Cricetulus griseus: one gene and its partners. The protein of the gene in region 1 interacts with the protein of each later gene in a pairwise test. Links are inferred from orthologs where the notes say so. Each region holds a gene or a part of one and is shown on either strand. Other genes may lie near its edges.

Region 1 (4,058 bases):
ATATCATAAACAAACTATCACTACACTGAAACACCCAATCAACTACCTTGTAGGGGAAAAAAGGGTTAGCTCATTGAACATTCCTTTCAAAAGCCCTCCACCATAGCAGTAGGGTGGAGTAATTATCTCCCACAGATCCCTGGCTGTCAACTCCTGTTTTATCCTTTTCTTAAGACAGGGTTTCTCTGTGTAACAGCTCCAGCTGTCCTGGAACTCACTCTGTAGACCAGGCTGGCCTCGAACTCACAGAGATCCACCTGCCTCTGCCTCCAGAGGGTTGGGATTACAGACGTGCACTATCACCGCCCAGCTTCTGTTTTATCTTTTTCTATGAGCCGGCACATGCCAGTCCGATCTCTTATATGTAGGAGGTAGAGACAAAAGAGGCTCAAGTATGACCTATGACATGGGCTACACAGTGAGACCTGTCTCAACCCATCATCCTTACCCCCAAAACTTGCATTCAGAAATTTCAATCAACAAATAAACATAAAAAATGAAAATAAACATAAATAAGCATGCAAGGCCTTATCTCAGATGACAAGGACACCCACTGGCCTGTCTGAGGTAACTTGGTGAGTCAGAGAAAGGACCACAAAAGAAACAAAGAGACTGTGAGATGTGTCTAGAAAACCTCCAAATGTTAACCAGACACACTAGTTTCTTCTGGGATGCTTTGTTCTACGGGGTCTGTTGGTTTTTTTGGTTGAACCAGTTCTAAAGATCTGGAAATGAAAAGCAGGCTAAAATGCAGGTGTTTATCTGAAACACACTCCTACAGTACTGAGACAACACACCTCCTGCCCACCCCATACACACTTGGGTCCCACTATGGTGGCACTGATAACATTTTGCCCAGCCCTTCCCACAGTTTTGTTAAAACAAAATGTTACTTCACACTGGAGAAGACTATGAGCTTTTCAGGCATCGAGATACAAGACAGAGGCACAATGCAGCACTCATCCTGGTCTGCTCTGCAGACTATTTGTAAATCGGTCTCCTACCACACTGCACGCTTCTTTTTTATTTATTTATTTTTATTACATATGTAGGGTTCTGCCTACATATACATTTGCATGCTAGCAGAGGGCACCAGATCTCATAGATGGTTGTGAGCCACCATGTGGTTGCTGGGAATTGAACTCAGGACCTCTGGAAGAGGAATCAGTGCTCTCAACCTCTGAGCCATCTCTCCAGCCCCACTGCATGCTTCTTCTTCCTTTTTTTTTTTTGGTTTTTCCAGACAGGGTTTCTCTGTGTAGCTTTGGAGCCTATCCTGGCACTCACTCTGGAGACCAGGCTGGCCTCGAACTCACAGAGATCCGCCTGCCTCTGCCTCTGCCTCCCAAGTGCTGGCATTAAAGGCGTGCGTCACCACACCCAGCTCACTGCATGCTTCTTAAGGGTAGGTACTGGGTCTCAAAAGTTTTCATAATGGGTGTATGAATGAGAAGCATTGAACAAGGCTGTGAGCAACAGTGGGCACTGATGGGCGATGTAAGACCCCCTGTCTCTCACTGCCCCCAGTACTCACTGTGCATGAAAATCCACAACAACTGGTGTTTCACTGTTGACAACTCTGTCTTGAAAGTCAGGTCCATCCTGGACATTAAAGGTTGTTGAGCAGACTCTGGTTGTGTATAATGTTCGGGCTGGGCCGAATGTTCCTGTCAGACCACCAGGATTGTACTGTGGTGTCTGCAGGGCTCTAGAGGTGAGGGAAGTCCACCCACTCTGAGGGGGCTTCCTGGGGATGGCTGAGGTCAGGAACCTCCTCAAGAGAAGCCGCTGAGCCATCTGTGAGGGAAAGAAGCAGGAAGAGCTGGGCTACACAACAGAAAGTCAACATATCAGGAAAACAAAGTATTTCAAAGTACTGACGTGTTGGCAACATGCAGAGTGAGAAGCAAAATGCATGGAAATACTGTAATATAATTTTTGAGGGCCAGGACTTGTCATTCCTGCCCTCATTTGGGAGGCTGAGGCAGGAGAATATAAATCAAGGTCAGTTGGGTTATATAGTAAAACCCTGTCTCTAAAACCTCCACACCCCAACCACAATATATCTAGAGGTGAGTGAGGAATGAGGATCACAGAATAGATGTGTTAGAAGACAGAAACTAGGCTGACAGCCAAAAAAAGAAACCAAGGCTTAGGCGGAATTATAAAAGGTTGATGGAAGGAGGAACAAAGCTTAAGTGTGTTTCATGACTGGTTCTCCCAGATCAATTCTGAAGAAACTGTTTTAACACCGTTCACATTCAGGACGACCCAGGCCTCAGGTAGGTTAAGTGACATGCCCAAAGTAGCCCAGTTTTAAAAGGACAGTTAATTGGAACCCAAGGCATCTGTAGAATCTTTACTCTATCGATCGCTCTTTTAAAATGCGTTTCCATGGGAAATTAAGGAGGGAAAAGGGATAAGCAAAGAAGAATCCCAACTACGGAAGGAGGAACTAAGAAGCATGGGAACCCAGGCATGGGGTACCACAGAGAAGGGGGGATGTGTGTACGGAGGGAAACGAGAGACCGGGAGCACAGGTCGTGCGGCTGCCGAGACCAGATCCTCCCTCTCGGGTCTTCCCTCCGCTTGTGGCCGGCTTGCACAGCAGCGCGCCACCCGCGCCGCCCAGCCCACCCCGCGGGGCTCCTACCTCCCGGCAGCTAGAGCGGAGGGACGTACAGCCCAGCCGGCCTGCCCGTCAAGGGCACTCTGTTGTCACTTCCTCAGGGGCGGGACTAGCGTCATTTCCGGGAAAGACTACCCGGACGGCGTATCTTCGCAACTTGGGGGCGGTTCAGTATTTTCCACCAATGAGGATAACGGAAAAAGGTTCGGGGGCGGGTGATGGGGGGAGAACGGAAGGAATGGGTTCCTGGAGGAAGGACCGGAAGAGGGGTGGGACCAGTGAGAGAGAGGGAGAGCAGTTGGAGGGAGGGCGGAGAGGAAGGAGTGGCTTTGGAACAAATCTCTGGGGCGTTGAACCCTGTTGGCACCGCCCATCCCTGAATCTTGTGGTTCGGGAAAGGGTTGGCATGTTGTGTTCAACTTAATACCGGGGAAGCACGCTCTGTTCCGCAGAAACTTAGTGTTTAAAGGAAGGTTGTCCCGGGCTGGGGTTGTGGCTCAATTGGTAGAGCGCTTGCCTCGCACGCATGAAGCCTGGGTTCGATTCTCAGTATCACGTAAACTGGGTGGAGGGTTCAGGACTTCAAAGTCATCCTTGACTACATAGGGAATACTTGAGACATACCCCCGACACACACACACACACACACACACATCCCTACGTGGGCATCAAGGGATTGTTTTGTTGTCCTGGCTTTGTCTGCCCAACGTCATTGTCCCTAAGGGCTGGTGGTGCTTCTAAACCGTCAACCTTCTTTTTGGAATTATTGGGGAAGTGGGCTTGCCTTTGAGACCCAAGGTGAAGTGTCGTCTGTGAAGCTTGGGCCTGGGGCTTTTCTCCATTTCCACTGGCTTGAGTGACTGAGGTCTAAGTACCCTATTCCTACATACTACGGTTCTGGGAACACATTGCTGCTCATATCCTCTTCCACACCTTTGCTCATGTTGAACTTTTGTCTCTCAGTACTTAGAGCACCTGCCCATCATGTCTTCTGAATAGTTTTGCTTTCTTCTGTCTAGTGCTTGCTTTGTAACCCTTCATAGCACCTTACAGTGTCTATGCTTTCTCTAGTCTATGCTTTCTCAGAGTAGGAACTTGTGCTTATAATAAACTTATAGTCTTATGTCTGTCTCAATATTTCTCTTTTCTTCTTTTTAAACAAAAGAATAACAGTTGTTACTCATCTGCATATACTTAGCACCAACCTGGGACAGTACCCGGCCCAGAGAGGCCAGTGGATGTTTACTGTTTAGTAGATTCTTACTAAATTGAGGATCTTTGCACATTTCAGCAAATGGTGTCTGTCAAACCGTTATAAGGTGTGTCCAATAAGGTGTGTCCAAGTAGAAGCAGATAAATTGGCAGGACTCTATCTGCCACATCATTTCAACCCACTCTTTCATTAGTTAGTGGTTTGCTGAGGTGTCTC
Region 2 (4,090 bases), on another chromosome or scaffold:
CAGAGGGTGGCCTCTGGGCCTGGTTCTGTTACTTGAGCCTCTTAACTTTGGGCCTAAGATTCCTCATCTCTAAAGAATGAGGCTAGGATCTCATGCCTTACAGGCTCCTTTCAGCTGTCAGGCTCTATAGTTTTAACTGTCTTAGTCAGGTTTGCATTGCTGTAAAGAGACACCATGACCATGGCAACTCTTATAAAAGAAAGCATTTAATTGGGTCTTGCTTATTGTTTCAGAGGGTTTGTCCATTGTCATCATGGTGGGAAGCATGGCTGCAGACAAGTAGATATGGCTTGGGCTTCTGAAACTCCCAAAGCCCACCCCAAGTGACATACTTCCTCCAACAAGGCCACATCCACTCAGATAAGGCTACACCTCCTCTCCAATAGCAGCACTCCTTAATGACCAAACATTCAAACATAAGAGCCTATGGGGGTCATTTCTATTCAAACCGCCACAAATTCTGTCTATAGTGACTCTAAATTGAGCTTATGGTCAAAATGGTGACAAGGACTCCCTGTTGTCATCAAAACTTCAAACTCCCCCAAGTCTTCTGTTTGACTTTTCCAAACTTCCATGTCTCTGATAAATCAGGGCAGTGACGCCTCACTGCTATTAATATCTGTCACTCTGGCCTGCCTGCAACATGAATTCTGTGAAGCAGATCTATCAAGAGTCCCTCTTATCCCCTCCCATTTCAGTAATTTTTCATTTAATGACTTTCATACTACCCTGTCATAAATATTCACTTCTCTTACGGGAACCAAGTCCAGTATCTCTCCTTTGCTCCAAGAGCCATTGCACTGGCCCTTTGTTCCTGTCACCATGAACCCTTAAGAGTGAAGTCTGCCAATTTTTTATTTATTTTTGGTTTGGTGTTTTTGTTGTTGTTTGTTTTCTTTTTGAAAATAGAGTGTTGCCCAGATGCTGGCCTCGAACTCACTATGTAGCCCGTGAGGCCTCCAATGTAGCAATCTGACAGACTGGGATAACAGGCATGTGTCACCGCATCATCCAGTTTATCTTTTAAAAGGGTGAAGAGTAATCGTTTTGTAACAACACATTCTGGGCTTAGAAGAAGCCAGAAACCAGCTTTGGGAAGGCTTGAGCATCTGGCAGGTGGGTCTTTTTGGCAACAGGGCAACCTAGCTTGCACAAACTGATTCTTGGTTTCCATGGGACTGAGATTTGGGACTGCTCAGAGTCCCCCGCGGCGCCAGGGGGCGCTGCGGAATGCTCCCGGAAGCCAGCCTCGCTCTCTGTGGGACAGCACCTGCCTCCGGGCTCTGGGCTTTCCGGAAGCGGAGCTGTGGACCCGCGGCCGCGGCGGCCGGCTGGTTGGCGGCCGGGCTGACTGAGCCGGCGGAGCCCCGCGCCTGGCTCCCTCCCCAAGGTGGAGCACCATGGAGGACTCCAGCAGCTCCGCGGGCAGCGGAGGCTTCCGCCCCGGCGTGGACAGCCTGGACGAGCCGCCCAACAGCCGCATCTTCCTGGTGATCAGCAAGTACACGTCCGAATCGGTGCTGAGGGAGCGCTTCTCGCCCTTTGGAGACATCCAGGACATCTGGGTGGTGCGCGACAAACACACCAAGGAGTCCAAGGGCGTCGCCTTCGTCAAGTTCGCCCGAAGCTCACAGGCCTGCCGGGCTATGGAGGAGATGCACGGACAGTGCCTTGGCCCCAATGACACCAAGCCCATCAAGGTGCTGCACTGGGGTGCCTACGTTAGGGTGTGTGAGGTAGAGATGCTCGGTTTGGGGGGTCTTGGGTGACGGTACCCGGGTTGGGGTAGCTGGGGTAGGGATGCCCGGGTCAGAGTGTCTGGGATAAGGGTGCCCGGGTTGGGGTTGTCTCGGGTAGAGGTGCCAGGGGTTGGGGTGTCAGCGGAGGCTAAGACGGTGTGGGTTAGGGTCTCTTCCCGCACCTTTGCTGCACCCGGGATGATGTGTATCAGGTAGTAAAGGAGTTGGAATCTGCTCCCAGGAGCTCTCCCAGGAGGAGAGGAGGAGAGGAACCCCGCCCATGCATGGGTCTGGAATGGCTAGGAGGAGAGGAACCCCGCCCTGTGGCCAAAGGAGCATCTTCCCCTGGGAACAGATTGGGTAGCCACAGCCAAGGACAGCGCAGCCATCCATGGCTGTCACTTACCATAATTCAGTTGACCCCTACCTCTTCCTGTCTATTGGGAGAACGTTTCTGACCCACCTCTCTCGGACACTTTGATTAACCTTTGCTACTAGATAATTTAGTTTTAGTGTTTTTTTTTTTCTCAAGTATTTTATTTTTACAAAGTTCAAGGGATATTACAGTACCAGCCTGTACTCACAAGATTATCAAAGTAAAATTATTTTGTGACAAGCTATGCTACAAACTAGAGAGGGGCAAACGTTTCAGGGGTTGGGGGAGTTCTGGCGTTGGTTTTACAAGAATTGGCTGGGTTGGAGTCTCTCCCACTTCTGCACCAGGATGCTGTGTATCAGATAGGGAAGGAGTTAAACCGTGTGAAAACAAGGCGAACAAGTAGTGATTCATGTCTTGTGTAGATCCAAGCCTTTATCAAAGATTGTAAACAGTTTAAACTCTAAAATTTAGACATCTATGATCTGATGGCTCCTCTGATCTCATTTTCCCCGTGGCCCCTTTTTTTCCTCTAATGTTTGCATTTTCTTGGAGCCTCTCTTGTGTCTTCCTTTGGATACTTAATTCCTGATGCATCGACTAGATTGACTTAGTCATTTATACTAATACCCCAGTTGTTAGTTGCATTTTGGTTTGTTTTTGTTTTATAGTATCTTCTTTTGGGGGGAACAGGGTCTTCCCATGTAGACTATGCTGGCTTTGAACTTAAGATCTGCTTGCCTGACTTCCTGAGTGCAGGGAGTACAGTATAGGAGTACAGTTAACATTATTCTGAGGGCTTTGTATGTTTCTTAGGTTTTCATTGCTCAGTCCCGATCATCAGGAAGTCACAGAGATGTTGAAGATGAAGAACTCACAAGAATCTTCGTTATGATACCAAAGTCCTATACAGAGGAAGACCTACGGGAGAAATTTAAGGTGTGTGTGTTCTTATCACAACTCCATTTTCAACACTGTACAGTTACTAACAACTCGCAGTAGTAGCGAGTGTCCCCTCTGCCCAGACTTCATCCTAAAGTATAGGCTGAGAAAGTAAAGTACAAAGCCAGGGTGTTTTCATTAAAACCACACAGCTAATAGGTGGTGGTGCCAAGATTTAAACCTGCTGTGCCCCCAGAACCTGCCCTGGGTCTTTAAAAATCTCAAAGCACTTCTTGGTTCTCATTTCTCTTGCCTCTCTGTAGAGTGAGTCGCAGGCCTGAGTCAGGCTGGAGCAGGTAAGCTATGTTGACTAATACTTACCATGGCCTGTGCTATGTTGACATTGTACTCATTCACGGAAAGGTTTTTCCTCCAAGTGGTTTTGTCCTAAAATTTGGCTTTAACTCTTGTAGGTGTATGGTGACATCGAGTATTGCAGCATTATTAAAAATAAAGTCACTGGAGAAAGTAAAGGTCTGGGCTACGTGCGATATTTAAAACCATCACAAGCCGCCCAAGCAATAGAAAACTGTGATAGAAGTAAGAGGTTTTTTTTTAAGTTTTGTTTTATGTGTGTGATTGTTGTGCCTGAATGTACATCTGTGTCTCACATGGATGCAGTGCCTACAGAGGCCAGAGGCCAGAGGACGAGATCAGATCTCCTGGAACTGGAGTTACCGGTGGTTGTGAGCCACTGTGTGGGTACTGGGAAGGGAAACGAGGTCCTCTGGAAGAGCAACACATGTTCCTAACCACAGAGCCATCTTTCTGTTTCCAGAAGTGTTTGTTTTTTATCCTTGCTAACGGGCCTTTTGGAAAAGAATTCTCATTATTTTAAATAAAAGGGTCTATTACTAGATTTTTGCTAAAGTTAAGTAAGTAGTGAGTAAATATATGATATTTGAATTATAAATATATGACTGAAGGATGGAAATGTTTTGGACTTATGAACTAGCCATGTGCTGAAGCCATCTTGGTGACTGAGTTGTCAAGATGAACTGAGTTATCACATAAGCAGGGGGCATACTTGGCT
Region 3 (4,021 bases), on another chromosome or scaffold:
TGATGCTCTCTTCTGACTTCCCTGGCTACCAAATGAAAACACATGGCCCATTACATTCATGCAGGCAAAATATTCATACACAAAGGATACAAATAAAATATTTTTGAAAATTCTGTCACATTACAGTGTTTCAGGGCAAGAAAGATAATATAAATTCCTAAAATACTTTATTTTCAAGCATACCTACACACTAATTAAAATATCAATAAGCAGCATTTTTGTTAAACTAGATGAATCCCATCTCTTAGATTAGCAGTATGAAACCACCTGCCTATCTTTCTGGTTAAAAGCACTGTGATAAAAGCGATCACAAGGAGTTTTGTGAAATCTTTGGCTGCTGGGATGGTTTGTTAGAGACAGACAACTGTTTTTATGTGACACCGGGTAATAAAATACCACTGCTTGTGACCATATTGCCCTCAAATGAACTTCATTTGAGGGGAAAACTCATAATTAAAAGCCCTATGAAGACAAACCCATCACAGTACCTTGGCAGCTTTGTTAACCTTGTCTTCATTTTCTCTCTTATATACAAACACCGAGGCGCATTTCCCATCTTGCAGTATGGCGGGGTAAACAGCAAGTCCAGAGGGCAAGGTGAATGGTGGTTCTCTCAGTGTATAGCTCTTTAAAGCACTGTTCTCTGATCCCATCCCTCCTGTAGTGAGGCCGTACTGCAGCTCCTCCTCAAGTCAAACAGATCTGCAACACAGCAGAGACAAATGAGAACATCAAGCAAATAGAAGCCAGGTGGCTATCCAGCTTACCCCAAAGTGCCCACTGGGACTTATTCATCATTCCTGCAGTGCCAACAATTGCATTCAATAATACAGTCAACGAACAGCAAGTTATCAGGAATCCTTGTTAATAAACAACTAACAACTCCAGAGAAATTGTGTGTTACCAAATAGCCACATGGACTTCCTTCCAAACCTAATCACACATAAATTTTATAAAGGCTTGTAAAACTTTTCAGTTAAACATAAGTAGTCTTAGACAGTGCTGCTGGAGGTGACAGCAGTGGTGGCACATGCCTTTAATCTCAACACTTGGGAGGCAGAGTCAGGTGGATCTCTGAGTTCAAGGTTAGCCTGATTTACAAAGTGAGTTCTAGGACAGTTAGGGTTCCACACAGAATCCCTGTTTTGAACCCCCAGTCCCCCAAAAGTAGTCTTTGTATAAATACAAACCTAATAATCATGACACATGTCTTAGATTTCCCTCCCACTTGAAGAGCTACAGAATAATTTGTTATTATGTAATGATGCCTAGAATACAAGCCTATCACAGAATTTAAAATGTGTACAGATGCACACACATTACTGTATGAGGAACACAAAATGCACTATGGCAAAAAGCTACAGAAATCTAAGAATGTCTGTAGGTGACAACAAACTTTGCTCTTTAGCAAATGCACTGAGCTTTGACATACCTAGCAATTTATCTTTCTTAGGCTTGGGGATTATTGAAGAGAGGGTTGTAAAAACCAGAGGAGCAGGAAGTTTGCTGTGAGATTATATCTCCTAGAAAGTCAAAGAAGGATACCATCCAGTTTCATTAGCATGGCTGCCTAAATAAGACAATGAGGACACTAATGGACATGCTCACACGAAAGCTCACATGAAAGCTCACACAACCCTCCCTAGCCAAAGAACCACAGGCAGCTGGGGAATGCTGAGAACCAGCTAAGTGTTCTTCCAAAGGGAAGAGTTCCCAATTGGGTATCCAATACCAAGTGGCTCGCCCGAGATCAGAGAGATGCAGGTAACATTGTACAGACTGAGCAGATTGTAGTTCTGTATTTAGGAATACACACTCATAACAGAAAAAGACACCAGGAATTTGACACAACAATGGGGAGGTGGATTGATTGGAGGGAGGAAAGGGAAAGAGGGGAAGTATGTCCCTGTTATGTATTCTCCCAACAATTAGTAGAGATTCTCTTGGCTCCATATCCCTTAGCTTCAAAGTGCCAAAGCTTTGGGCTTGCCCCGAGAGTGCGAAGGATATGCCTTACTCGTGGCACTTAGCTACTGGGTGGTAAACCTCAGTAGCAGCCCTGTGCTTTGATGTGTTTCAGCCTTGCATGGTGTTGGTCAAGAACTCACCCCCACAGTGCTGGCTATCATGTAGTCGGGACTAAAAGTACTTCGTCTGACCTCAGCTCAGGATACACTCCAGCCCCTCAAGCCAGCGGCAACCGTGATCCCCAAATTCAGCAAAAACCACTTTGGGAGACACGTGTATGTTATCCTTACTCTACGCATGAGGCCCCGGGGGTTTGGCGCTGCCTGGGACCCTTGCATCGCGCGACCTTCCCGCTGGATTCCCGGCCGGGCCTCTTCGCTGTCCCCCGGCCTCGGCCGCGACGGCAGGGGTCACCCGAGAAGCCAGAGAGAGGGGACCCCGAACCAGCCGGAGCAGCCAGCGCTCAACGAACCGGCCGCGCCAGCGCTCCCCGCGAGCGGCGACCCCGCTCCCACCCTGCGCAGCCGCCCGGGCCAGGCCGCTCGGCCCCCGGTTACCTGCGGGCGGCGGGAGGAGGCTGGCGGCTCTGCTCCCTCTTGGCCCGCGGCCGGCTCGGACACTCAGACCTAGGCCCCTGCACCCTATGCCTCCCGAGGACCCGGCTCAGACCGCACCACAAGGGCCCGGAAACGGGTCAACACACCGGCCTTCAGTTCCTCCTACGCCACCACCGAGGCGCGCGAACCCGGAACCGAGCTAGAGCGGCCGCACAGGTGATGCTCAGGCCGGTGTCATCTGCAGGTGTGGGCGCCAGGGAAGCCTGCGTCTCACGCCGGCCCCCAGCCGCCGGCTCCCGCTGCAGAGAAACCCGTCGGCGTGTGCTTTCAGCTCGATTGCACAGGTGTCCTAGTTTTAATGTTTGGGTTTTTAACCGGCCGGTTTTGACTTCATTTCCGCCCGAATCCAAAATGGACGCCTCTGGCTTCAGACAAGTACGGTAGTAAAGGGGCGGGACAAAAGGAGGAGTTTGGTGCTGAGACAGAACTTTTCCGGTAGTGACTCTCCGCTTCCTGGACACGTGATTGGCCGAGCTACCTGGGAAGATTTTTTTTTTTTTTTTTTTTTTTTTTGAACCACTGGTGAAGTTGTCAGAAATCATGGTGATTCTGGCATTTTTAGATTTGAGACTTCAGCCTGGAGTCAATTCATTCATTCTTTGATCATTGATCCAAGTCCAATTGTGGATGGGATCTTGGATAACCTGTTTCCCGTTCTCCTAAACACGATGGCCATCTACACTTCCAAAATTAACAAGAAAATTTCCTGCTGAATGAATGAGAGAACTGGAAGACACACTACTTTCCTGTTGTGCGATTATTTTACTCTTGGCTTTTAGGGGGCCTGCCACCCAGCACCCAAAATAATACATGGAGTCTTATTCTTATGAATGTCTGGCCTTATCTTGGCTTGTTTCCAGCCAGCTTTTCTTAACGTAAATTACTCTTCTTACCTTTTGCCTCTAGGCTTTTTTTGTTTTCTTACGTCTGTTAATCTTCCCCTTACTGTGTGGATTGCTGTGTAGCTGGATGGCTGGCCCCTGCGGCCCTCCTCTCCTCTCTTGCTGCTCCTCTTCTTTCCTATTTCTCCTTTTATTTATACTCTTTATCTGCCTGCTATCCTTGTTTGTGTCTTGCTATTGGCTGGTTGTTGAGCTCTTTATTAGACCATCAGGTGTTTTAGATAGGCAAAGAATCACAGCTTTACGGAGTTAACAAATGCAGCATAAACAAAAGTTACACACCTTAAACTAATATCCTTCCCACTACTTATCTACTCACTTACCTATCTGTGATTTCACTCAGGTCTCTAAATAAATCAACTCTTAAATCCCTGGATTAAGTCCCGTTATTTTGAAGCCACAGGTAAACTTTACATTCCCCCCTAATAAGGATTCTGATCATTCTCTCCAGTGGACATTTAACTCTGTAGCAAAAGGGGACACACAGATTTGACTTTCCTAACTGGATGTAGGTGATAAAAGTTTTGTTAGTGT
Region 4 (4,208 bases), on another chromosome or scaffold:
TAATGACCCCTTAGGCTTAGTTGATTCTCTCCCCTACTGTTTTCCCTCTGGAGAGCAGTTGTCACATGCCCTGGTACCCTACAGAGACCCAGGGCTACGCCCTCCCTCTTCTTCCCTTCTCCTGACCCCAGACTTCTTTTTCCCTTCTCTTGGTCCTCTGGAAGTTCCGCGAGGGCTGTGATCCAGCTGCCAGCCTAGCATCCACGATCTGTTGGATGTTACCTCCAATTTCCTGTCCTACTGCCCTTTCCTCTTTCCTGGCTCAGACCTATTGGCCATGCCTGGCGCTGCCCTTGGGAAAGCCTGTTACCAGTGTCTGGCCCAGCTGCTCAGGCCCTGGAATGCTGCATCTCCAGGCAACTATGCACTTTCATGAGGAGGGAACCAGGATGAGAAAGGGGGCTGGGCACAGATGGTTTAATTTGGGGGTGGGAGGAGGGCCCAGTTGGTTCTGGGGATCCTCCTGTCTGTTGCCAGCCAGTGACCTGCTTTTGCATTCTCCTGGTGCCCACTGCCCCTTGTTTCTGAGAGACACACATTATTCCCTAGCTGGCAGTTGACCTGCCTGAGCCAATGTGTCTATCTGTGGTAACTGGATGAACCATAATAAAAGGGATCATTTGACCCTGTCTATTCTGTGTTGCTTGTCTTCATGTGGGTCTTAATGAAGTCTTGATATGGGATGTGAGGCAGGGGTGTAGGGCTGGGTTGAGTGGATCTGTGGCCTGGAATTCTGTGATCATTTCCCTAAAGCAGCCTTGAGTAGGCCATGAAGTACATGCCACAACTACCAGTTAAGAAGAAGAAATAAAGTGCTCTGCTGGCAATGGTAGGACTGGAACACAGGCCCTTCCTCAGCTCCCCTGGGGGATCACCTGAAGCTAATTCAGCAGCCTCCATGCACACAAGTTCTTGAGACCTGTGGTTGCTCCAGCGTGATGAAAACTATTCCAATATGCCGAGTCTTTGCCAAGTGTACTCACTAGGAATGCTGTCTAGATCCTCTGTGCTGGTCACTCCTCAAGATACCTTTCAAGTAACCGTGGGTGCCGTAGCGCGCTCCTTTAATCCCATTATGGCAGAGGCAGGTAGATGTCTGAGTTCCAGACCAGCCAGGGTTAAAAAGAAAAAAATTTTTTTTCCAAGTGACCCCTTCAATGACAAGGCTTTCCTGCTTAGGATTGTGGCTTAGGTCCTGCAGCTTCCTCATTCTTAGCCTCTAATTTTCTGTACTCCTGTTTGTCTCAAGAGCCGAACTGCCTTTTAGAACAGGCGCAGTAAATAGAATTAAGTGCCAGAGTTCTGAACAGGTGCGCGGGGTAATTGGCAAATCACACAACTATGTAGGTCCTGGAGCGAGCTCCGGTGACTACAACTCCCAGAAGGCAGAGTAGACTACGGCTCCCAGAAGGCCATGCGTTCACGTAGCTCTCTCGCGTGCCCTTTAGACTCGGAGGGTAAGGGCGCCTAGATACCGCGATACTTGGGGCGGCTGGCGCGGGTGAGCGGTGGAAGGGGCTGGGAAGTGTTGTCCCGGGGATCGGCGTGGTGTGGCGGTGGGAGAAGCTCCTCAGGCTGTGGGTCCGAGCGAGGGTGGATGTGCGATTATGTGTGTGATGTGGGGCCACCGGCGTGCTCTCGCGCTCAGGGTTGGGGGACAGCAGCCGCACCTGCGCCCGCTGACCTGCGCTATCCTTGAAAGAGGCGCAGCCAGGACACCCACACTCGACGCTTACCTTTGAAAACTGCAGCGTAGGCTGCGTCCTAAGAGATCCAGGAGCGTCCCGATGTGAAAACGGTCTTAAAGTTACATTTATTTTGGATGGGGTGCTGTCACGGCATGCGTGTGGAGATCATACAACTTGTGAGATTCAGTTCCACCGTGTGAGGCTGCAAGCCACCTTACTGAGCCAACTTGCCTCAAGCTATTTTAAATGAATAAACTAGAGAAAGAAAAACCCTGGGAGTGTTTAGTTGCTTAATCCCTAAACGTGCGGAGCGGCATTTAAAAAGTAGAGTGAGGTCAGTTTTTTTTTTTTTTTTTTTTGTCTGAAAAAATTTCCTGATCAAATATTGGAAGCCAGAACTAGCTAATGGGCAGGAGAGAGCCTCGGGAAGTGGTGGGTGCTTGGGAACTGGGGGTTTTGCTCCGAGATGTGTCCTCAGGAGGTACCCAAATGAACTGTAGGAGCTTTGTGCCCAGCGTTTTGAATGAGAACGAGCGTTCCTTGCTTTTCCTAACACCTTAAAAGGGGTTTAGGTGCCGGGCGGTATGGGTTTTGGTGTAGGGTGGTTACATTTTTCTGGCTACATCCTTGCCCATTTTGTTACTGGCAGATATCCATGAAACTGAAACTTCAGTTTGACCTTGATTAAACAGAAGATTGATAAGGCACACGCTGAGGCCCTTTTCTCGGTGTGTGTGTGTGTGTGTGTGTGTGTGTTCTCACTGTCTTAAATTCTCTTTCTCTTTTACTTTTTTTTCCCTTTCCCTTCATGACAGGGTCTCTCAGTGTATCCCCGGCTAGCCCAGAACTCACTGTGTAGACCACACTAATCTTGAATTCATGGAAAACTGCCTACTTGTTCACCTGTGCTGGGATTAAAGGCATGTGCCATCACACCCCACTTTTTCTTACACATAAGAGTAAGTTTAAGTTCTGTGGTTATAATACAAGTCAAATAAGAATAGGAAAAACGCGTTTTCTGCACATGCTGCTTTAAGACTGGTCTAGCAATAAGCTGTAGACCTCACATTGGGAATATAGGCGTCTTCCTGTACCTGCACTTCAGTCTGTGAGGAGTGGAAAGAAAAATTAACCCTGAGTTCAAGGATAGCCACGAGAAACTCAAGTTTGACTCCGGAGGTTTAAAGGGAACACTGAATCATATGATAAAACAAGCTTGTCTTTTGAGTCTTTTTCCCGGGAGGTCAGTAGTGGTGGGAGAGAATTAGATATTACAATGTTCAGCTCCTGGACATGCCTGGACAAGCATGATGTAGAGGTCAGGGAACACAGACATGTACTGACTTGTCTGTTCAAACCAGTGAGCTCCATGTATAGGGAGGAGAGCTAGCTGTCCTGACTGCTGGAGAACCTGTGCTGCAGAGCATCAGGAGGTGCAGCATCCACCAGCTAGGAAGAAACACAATTGTGAGCCATTTTAAAGTGTAGAAAACAGCTTCTCTCTTATTGCTGTGGTTTGGAGGTTAGGTTTATTATGAAAGCAAAGGGTCCTCCCATCTTTCTGAAGGATGGAGAAAGTGCAGTGTCCTGGCTGTGGTTCTCCTACATGGCTCGGTGCCCCTGTCCCCCGAGCTCAGGAGGAATCATGACTTTTCAGTCACGGCCTGCTGCCTGCTTGTCCACTCTCCTGGACTGCTCACAGTTCCTGTTAGTGGCAGGGGTAGGGAATCGAGGTGCTGCCTATAGTCACCCTGACTGTCAATAAATGAAAATTCCAAAAATCTTTAATAGGATCTGGGTGGAGGAAGAGACTGAATTGGCTTGGAATTTGATCTTGGAGAGCAAACTCTGACCAGCTCTCACTTCCCCTGGGACTCTCAGGTTGAACATATTTGACCTCGATTCCAAATATTGGTTAAATAATCTAGTTTCTATTCTTCAACTATAAATCAGTCTCCCTCTTTCCCCAACCTTCCCCCCCCCCCAGAAGAATGGCTTTGGTCCTGAGCAAAACTTGGTTACAGATCAAGCATCGTATCTTGGGTTGGAATAAGCAGCGCAGAGTCCTGCCTCCAGTTTGATTGACAGCTTTCTGTAACATGACCCGTGGGAATTTTATCTTCTTGAGGTTCAGGGACTGCAGGGATGAAGCTGTGCTTCTGTTTTGCAGGACTCTCCCTGTTTTGCACCATTTGACTGAAGTAGGACAGGGTCAAGGTTTGAGGACTGACAGGTAAGTTTTGCTGGAGAATCAAGAATATGTTTCTCAGGGAACTGGAGAGATGGTTCAGTGGTTAAGAGCATGTGCTGCTCTTGTAGGGGAGCCGAGTTCCATTCCTATTACCTGTGCACACCCGTGCCGGGCAGCTCACAACTGCCCCAAGCTCCAACTCAAAGGTGATGGGATGCCTTTGGCCTCAGAGCATCTGCACTCAAGTGCACATGGTCACCTGCAGGCACATAATTAAAAATAAAATAATTAAACAACAAAAACCAAAACGCATCTCTCACCTACTAGTG
Region 5 (3,040 bases), on another chromosome or scaffold:
TTACCTGTGTGTCTGTACTACACTTACATTCTCTTGACACCTCTTCCACATGCTACCATCCTGTGCTCTCCATGACCGTCTACTCTGCACCCTTATTATCCCCTTCTATTCCAGCCCACAGTTCCTAGAAGTCACCTCACCCCAACATGTCCTCAGCATCTTCTTCCGCCCTGGCACATGGCATGCATTTGTCAGGTCCGGGGAGGTAACATCTAATGATTCCAGGTTCAAGGATCTACTCCTAGGGAAAAAAGAGTTTGAGAATCTTACTTGGCACTCCTGTCTTCTACTCTAGGTCCTAATGACATTCTTCATGGACTGACTTTGATAATCACATTCAATACAAACTTACAAATACTCATGAATTCACTGTCTATGTGAAAGGAAAAAAAAATAGTTTCAGAGTTCCACGTTCTAGGAAACTCAAATAAACCTCCACCTCTTCCCAAAGCTAGAGGTCACTACTAAGTGGATTCCATTTAGTTTTCAGGCAACCATCTAATAGGGTGAGTTCTGTGAAGAACCTGGGGAGTCCTAGCAGACTCAGATTACCTTTTTTTGGCGTGGGGACTTTATAAAGATGATATAGTCTAACTACATCAGGCAATCCACCAAGTGAGATGCCCATTAGCCTTTTGAGGCCAGAGAACAATTTAGAGAGGACCAGGTTTCTGAGAATAGGGTGCATGGGGAAAACTCCCAATACATGTGTGCCTAACTCAGTAACCATTTCTATGCACACATACTTCCCGTTCCCTTTTCTAACTGAGGAAACCTCTCCTTACCTTTCCAGGACAATTGTCACCTCCTGAGGAGAGAAGAGACACAGAGTCAATTCTGGAGTTTCTGATTGACAGAATTCCCAGGGTCATGTGACATCACCCATGTTTCCTCTGGGCCCTGCTCTGCAGCCTTTCCTTGGGCCACAGACAATTCTGACTAGTTCTTAGCAGAAAGGACTCATGGCTGCTCTTAGAATATCTAGGAAGCTAACATGGATATGGCCTGTAGCTAGGATATGACCAGGGCTTTACAGACTGATTGAGAAAACAAATTAGAAGGGCTAGGTTCTTGGAGGAGGGGGGTTTACCATGGAGACAGTAGAAGAGGAAAATAAATAACACAACCTGACTGAAGCCCAGAGGCAGTTGCAGGAAGGATATCCTTCCTGCTGAGGTAGGATATCCAGAAAGGCTCCTTGCCATTTATGGGATTGAATAGTTTGGGGAGAAAGGGTTAGTTGGTTGAAAGCTTTGTCCTGTGCTGTGGTTAATCCTCTGCCTTATTTAGAGTGAGCTTAAGTGAGAATATTCCTTCCCATAATGTTGGAACTGGCAACCTTCTAGGCTCAGTCAAAAGGCACTAGGGAGCCAGTTCAGGGATAGGAAAGGGAAAAGCAAGGGAAAGCCTTCCAAGCCAAACCAATATAATCAGCTTTTCTGAACAAACACTCAAGGAAATGTTTATCTGAGAGACAGGGACGGAGGTGTGAGAAAAGAAGCACAGAGATCATCTAGACCATAGTCTTCCAACGTGGGGTGGGGCTAACATATCATGGGTGGATGCAAGATGGCTTTAGAATACACACGGATTTTAAAAATAATGATGTACGTGTTTCATCTTATTTTTTTGTCTCTTACTACTTAGATAAACTGACGTCATTTAGCTTGACTCTCTCACTAAGTCTCTTAATGTCTCTGCTCCTTAGTTTTCTCACCCATGGACTTGGATCACAGTAGCACTTACCTGAACCATGGTAAGTCATCTGTGTGCTGTTTAGGAATCTGCAGTTATCATTACGGGAAAAAATTAGAAAAAACAGTAGCACCAATATGTAATTTCTTAGTTATCATGCCTTGGCAAAAATTATTTTAAAGCTAAATTTATTTTGGGGAAAGAGTGAGACTATTTGCAGAAGCAGAACAAATTAAAAATCATGTAGGGAGCTCTCAGGAATCCAGGAAGTATTAAAATCCAACTACGACTAATGTTAGGCACACTTTCCTGCATCCACTCCCCTTATGGCTTCATCAGTGGAGACACTGACTATAGGAAAGAAAAACAGTCCCATAACCTATCACTATGGAGAGAAATGACACAACTCAGTTTTGGAAATTATACTTTCAAAAACATTCTTATGGCTACTTGTCTAAGCACCAGAATGGATGTTCTCATTTAATTCCTTAAAAAAGAAAACCACTTGAGATATGTAAATATTTATATATAATATATATATATATATATATATATATATATATATCCATATATCCTGGTGACGTGTGCTAAGTGTCATGCTCCAGCTCCCACACCTGGCACTACCGGGGATGTCCATCTATTGGCTACTACTTGGAGCATGTTCTCTTGTATCTATACCCTGTTGTTCTGCAATGGAAGCCACTCCTGGGTCCACATTTCTGTTTATTTAAGAATGTCCCAAAGATTAAGGCAGCACTTGCATTAGGAGCCATTCCAGAGAGTTCTGGTTTTCTCCCAGTTACTCCTGGTGCCTGTGCATGGGTCTCACCTGCAGTAGCTCCAGCTGGGAGCCCCGGCTCCTCCTCTCCAGCTCTGCGATCAACTCCTGCAGGGCCTGGTTCTTCTCAGCTAGCTCAGCCTCCTTCTCCCCCAGGAATTTCAGGTGCTCCCTCTCATCCTTCTCCAGTTTCTGTAGCTGCCTCTGCTCTTCCTTGGCCAGCAAGCTATTCTGATGTACAAACTCCGAGTGAATCCTCGACTTTTGTATGTCCACGTTTCTCTGAGGTGGCAAGGGCAAGACAGGAGTTTTGCATTTTTAGTTTTAATAAAAATTTCCTAGGCTTTGGTGGCAGAGGCGTTTCTGTTCCCTGGTCACTCATCCCTCTGTTTATGTCTGGGAATAGGTGCGCGCACACACCCACAACAATGTGCGCTCTCCAGTGTGCACACGGCTGGCCTCTAGCAAACAGCATTGTTTAAGTGGCACACAGCAACTTCTGGCACCAACATCTTCTCAACTTTTCTTCCAAAACCCAGTAATGCCTATGTGAGTCCCTGTGTTCTC

Evidence for each region.
Region 2: the proteins of Txn2 (region 1) and Rbm45 interact in binary tests that used the Homo sapiens proteins (3 or more experiments, as listed by UniProt). The two-hybrid records come from large-scale screens. The link is inferred for Cricetulus griseus from reciprocal best matches to the Homo sapiens genes TXN2 and RBM45.
Region 3: the proteins of Txn2 (region 1) and Scyl3 interact in binary tests that used the Homo sapiens proteins (3 or more experiments, as listed by UniProt). The two-hybrid records come from large-scale screens. The link is inferred for Cricetulus griseus from reciprocal best matches to the Homo sapiens genes TXN2 and SCYL3.
Region 4: the proteins of Txn2 (region 1) and Ppcdc interact in binary tests that used the Homo sapiens proteins (3 or more experiments, as listed by UniProt). The two-hybrid records come from large-scale screens. The link is inferred for Cricetulus griseus from reciprocal best matches to the Homo sapiens genes TXN2 and PPCDC.
Region 5: the proteins of Txn2 (region 1) and Trim21 interact in binary tests that used the Homo sapiens proteins (3 or more experiments, as listed by UniProt). The two-hybrid records come from large-scale screens. The link is inferred for Cricetulus griseus from reciprocal best matches to the Homo sapiens genes TXN2 and TRIM21.

Annotation. Positions count from the first base shown.
Region 1 is NC_048595.1:375,026,086-375,030,143, forward strand, and holds the start of Txn2 (thioredoxin, mitochondrial), read right to left. Parts: upstream 2,803-4,058; 5' UTR 2,654-2,802; intron 1,798-2,653; coding exon 1,535-1,797; intron 1-1,534.
Region 2 is NC_048599.1:98,661,890-98,665,979, reverse strand, and holds the start of Rbm45 (RNA-binding protein 45), read left to right. Parts: upstream 1-1,284; 5' UTR 1,285-1,400; coding exon 1,401-1,736; intron 1,737-2,931; coding exon 2,932-3,054; intron 3,055-3,470; coding exon 3,471-3,597; intron 3,598-4,090. UniProt on the Homo sapiens protein: RNA-binding protein with binding specificity for poly(C). May play an important role in neural development.
Region 3 is NC_048598.1:28,407,950-28,411,970, forward strand, and holds the start of Scyl3 (protein-associating with the carboxyl-terminal domain of ezrin), read right to left. Parts: upstream 2,809-4,021; 5' UTR 2,672-2,808; intron 2,666-2,671; exon of another isoform or gene 2,526-2,665; intron 2,397-2,525; exon of another isoform or gene 2,259-2,396; intron 2,253-2,258; exon of another isoform or gene 2,109-2,252; intron 703-2,108; 5' UTR 654-702; coding exon 489-653; intron 1-488. UniProt on the Homo sapiens protein: May play a role in regulating cell adhesion/migration complexes in migrating cells.
Region 4 is NC_048597.1:169,065,115-169,069,322, reverse strand, and holds the start of Ppcdc (phosphopantothenoylcysteine decarboxylase), read left to right. Parts: upstream 1-1,405; 5' UTR 1,406-1,501; intron 1,502-1,507; exon of another isoform or gene 1,508-2,022; intron 2,023-2,503; exon of another isoform or gene 2,504-2,647; intron 2,648-3,858; exon of another isoform or gene 3,859-3,921; intron 3,922-4,208. UniProt on the Homo sapiens protein: Catalyzes the decarboxylation of the cysteine moiety of 4-phosphopantothenoylcysteine to form 4'-phosphopantotheine and this reaction forms part of the biosynthesis of coenzyme A.
Region 5 is NC_048596.1:96,824,376-96,827,415, reverse strand, and holds part of Trim21 (E3 ubiquitin-protein ligase TRIM21), read right to left. Parts: intron 2,756-3,040; coding exon 2,525-2,755; intron 809-2,524; coding exon 786-808; intron 242-785; coding exon 141-241; intron 1-140. UniProt on the Homo sapiens protein: E3 ubiquitin-protein ligase whose activity is dependent on E2 enzymes, UBE2D1, UBE2D2, UBE2E1 and UBE2E2.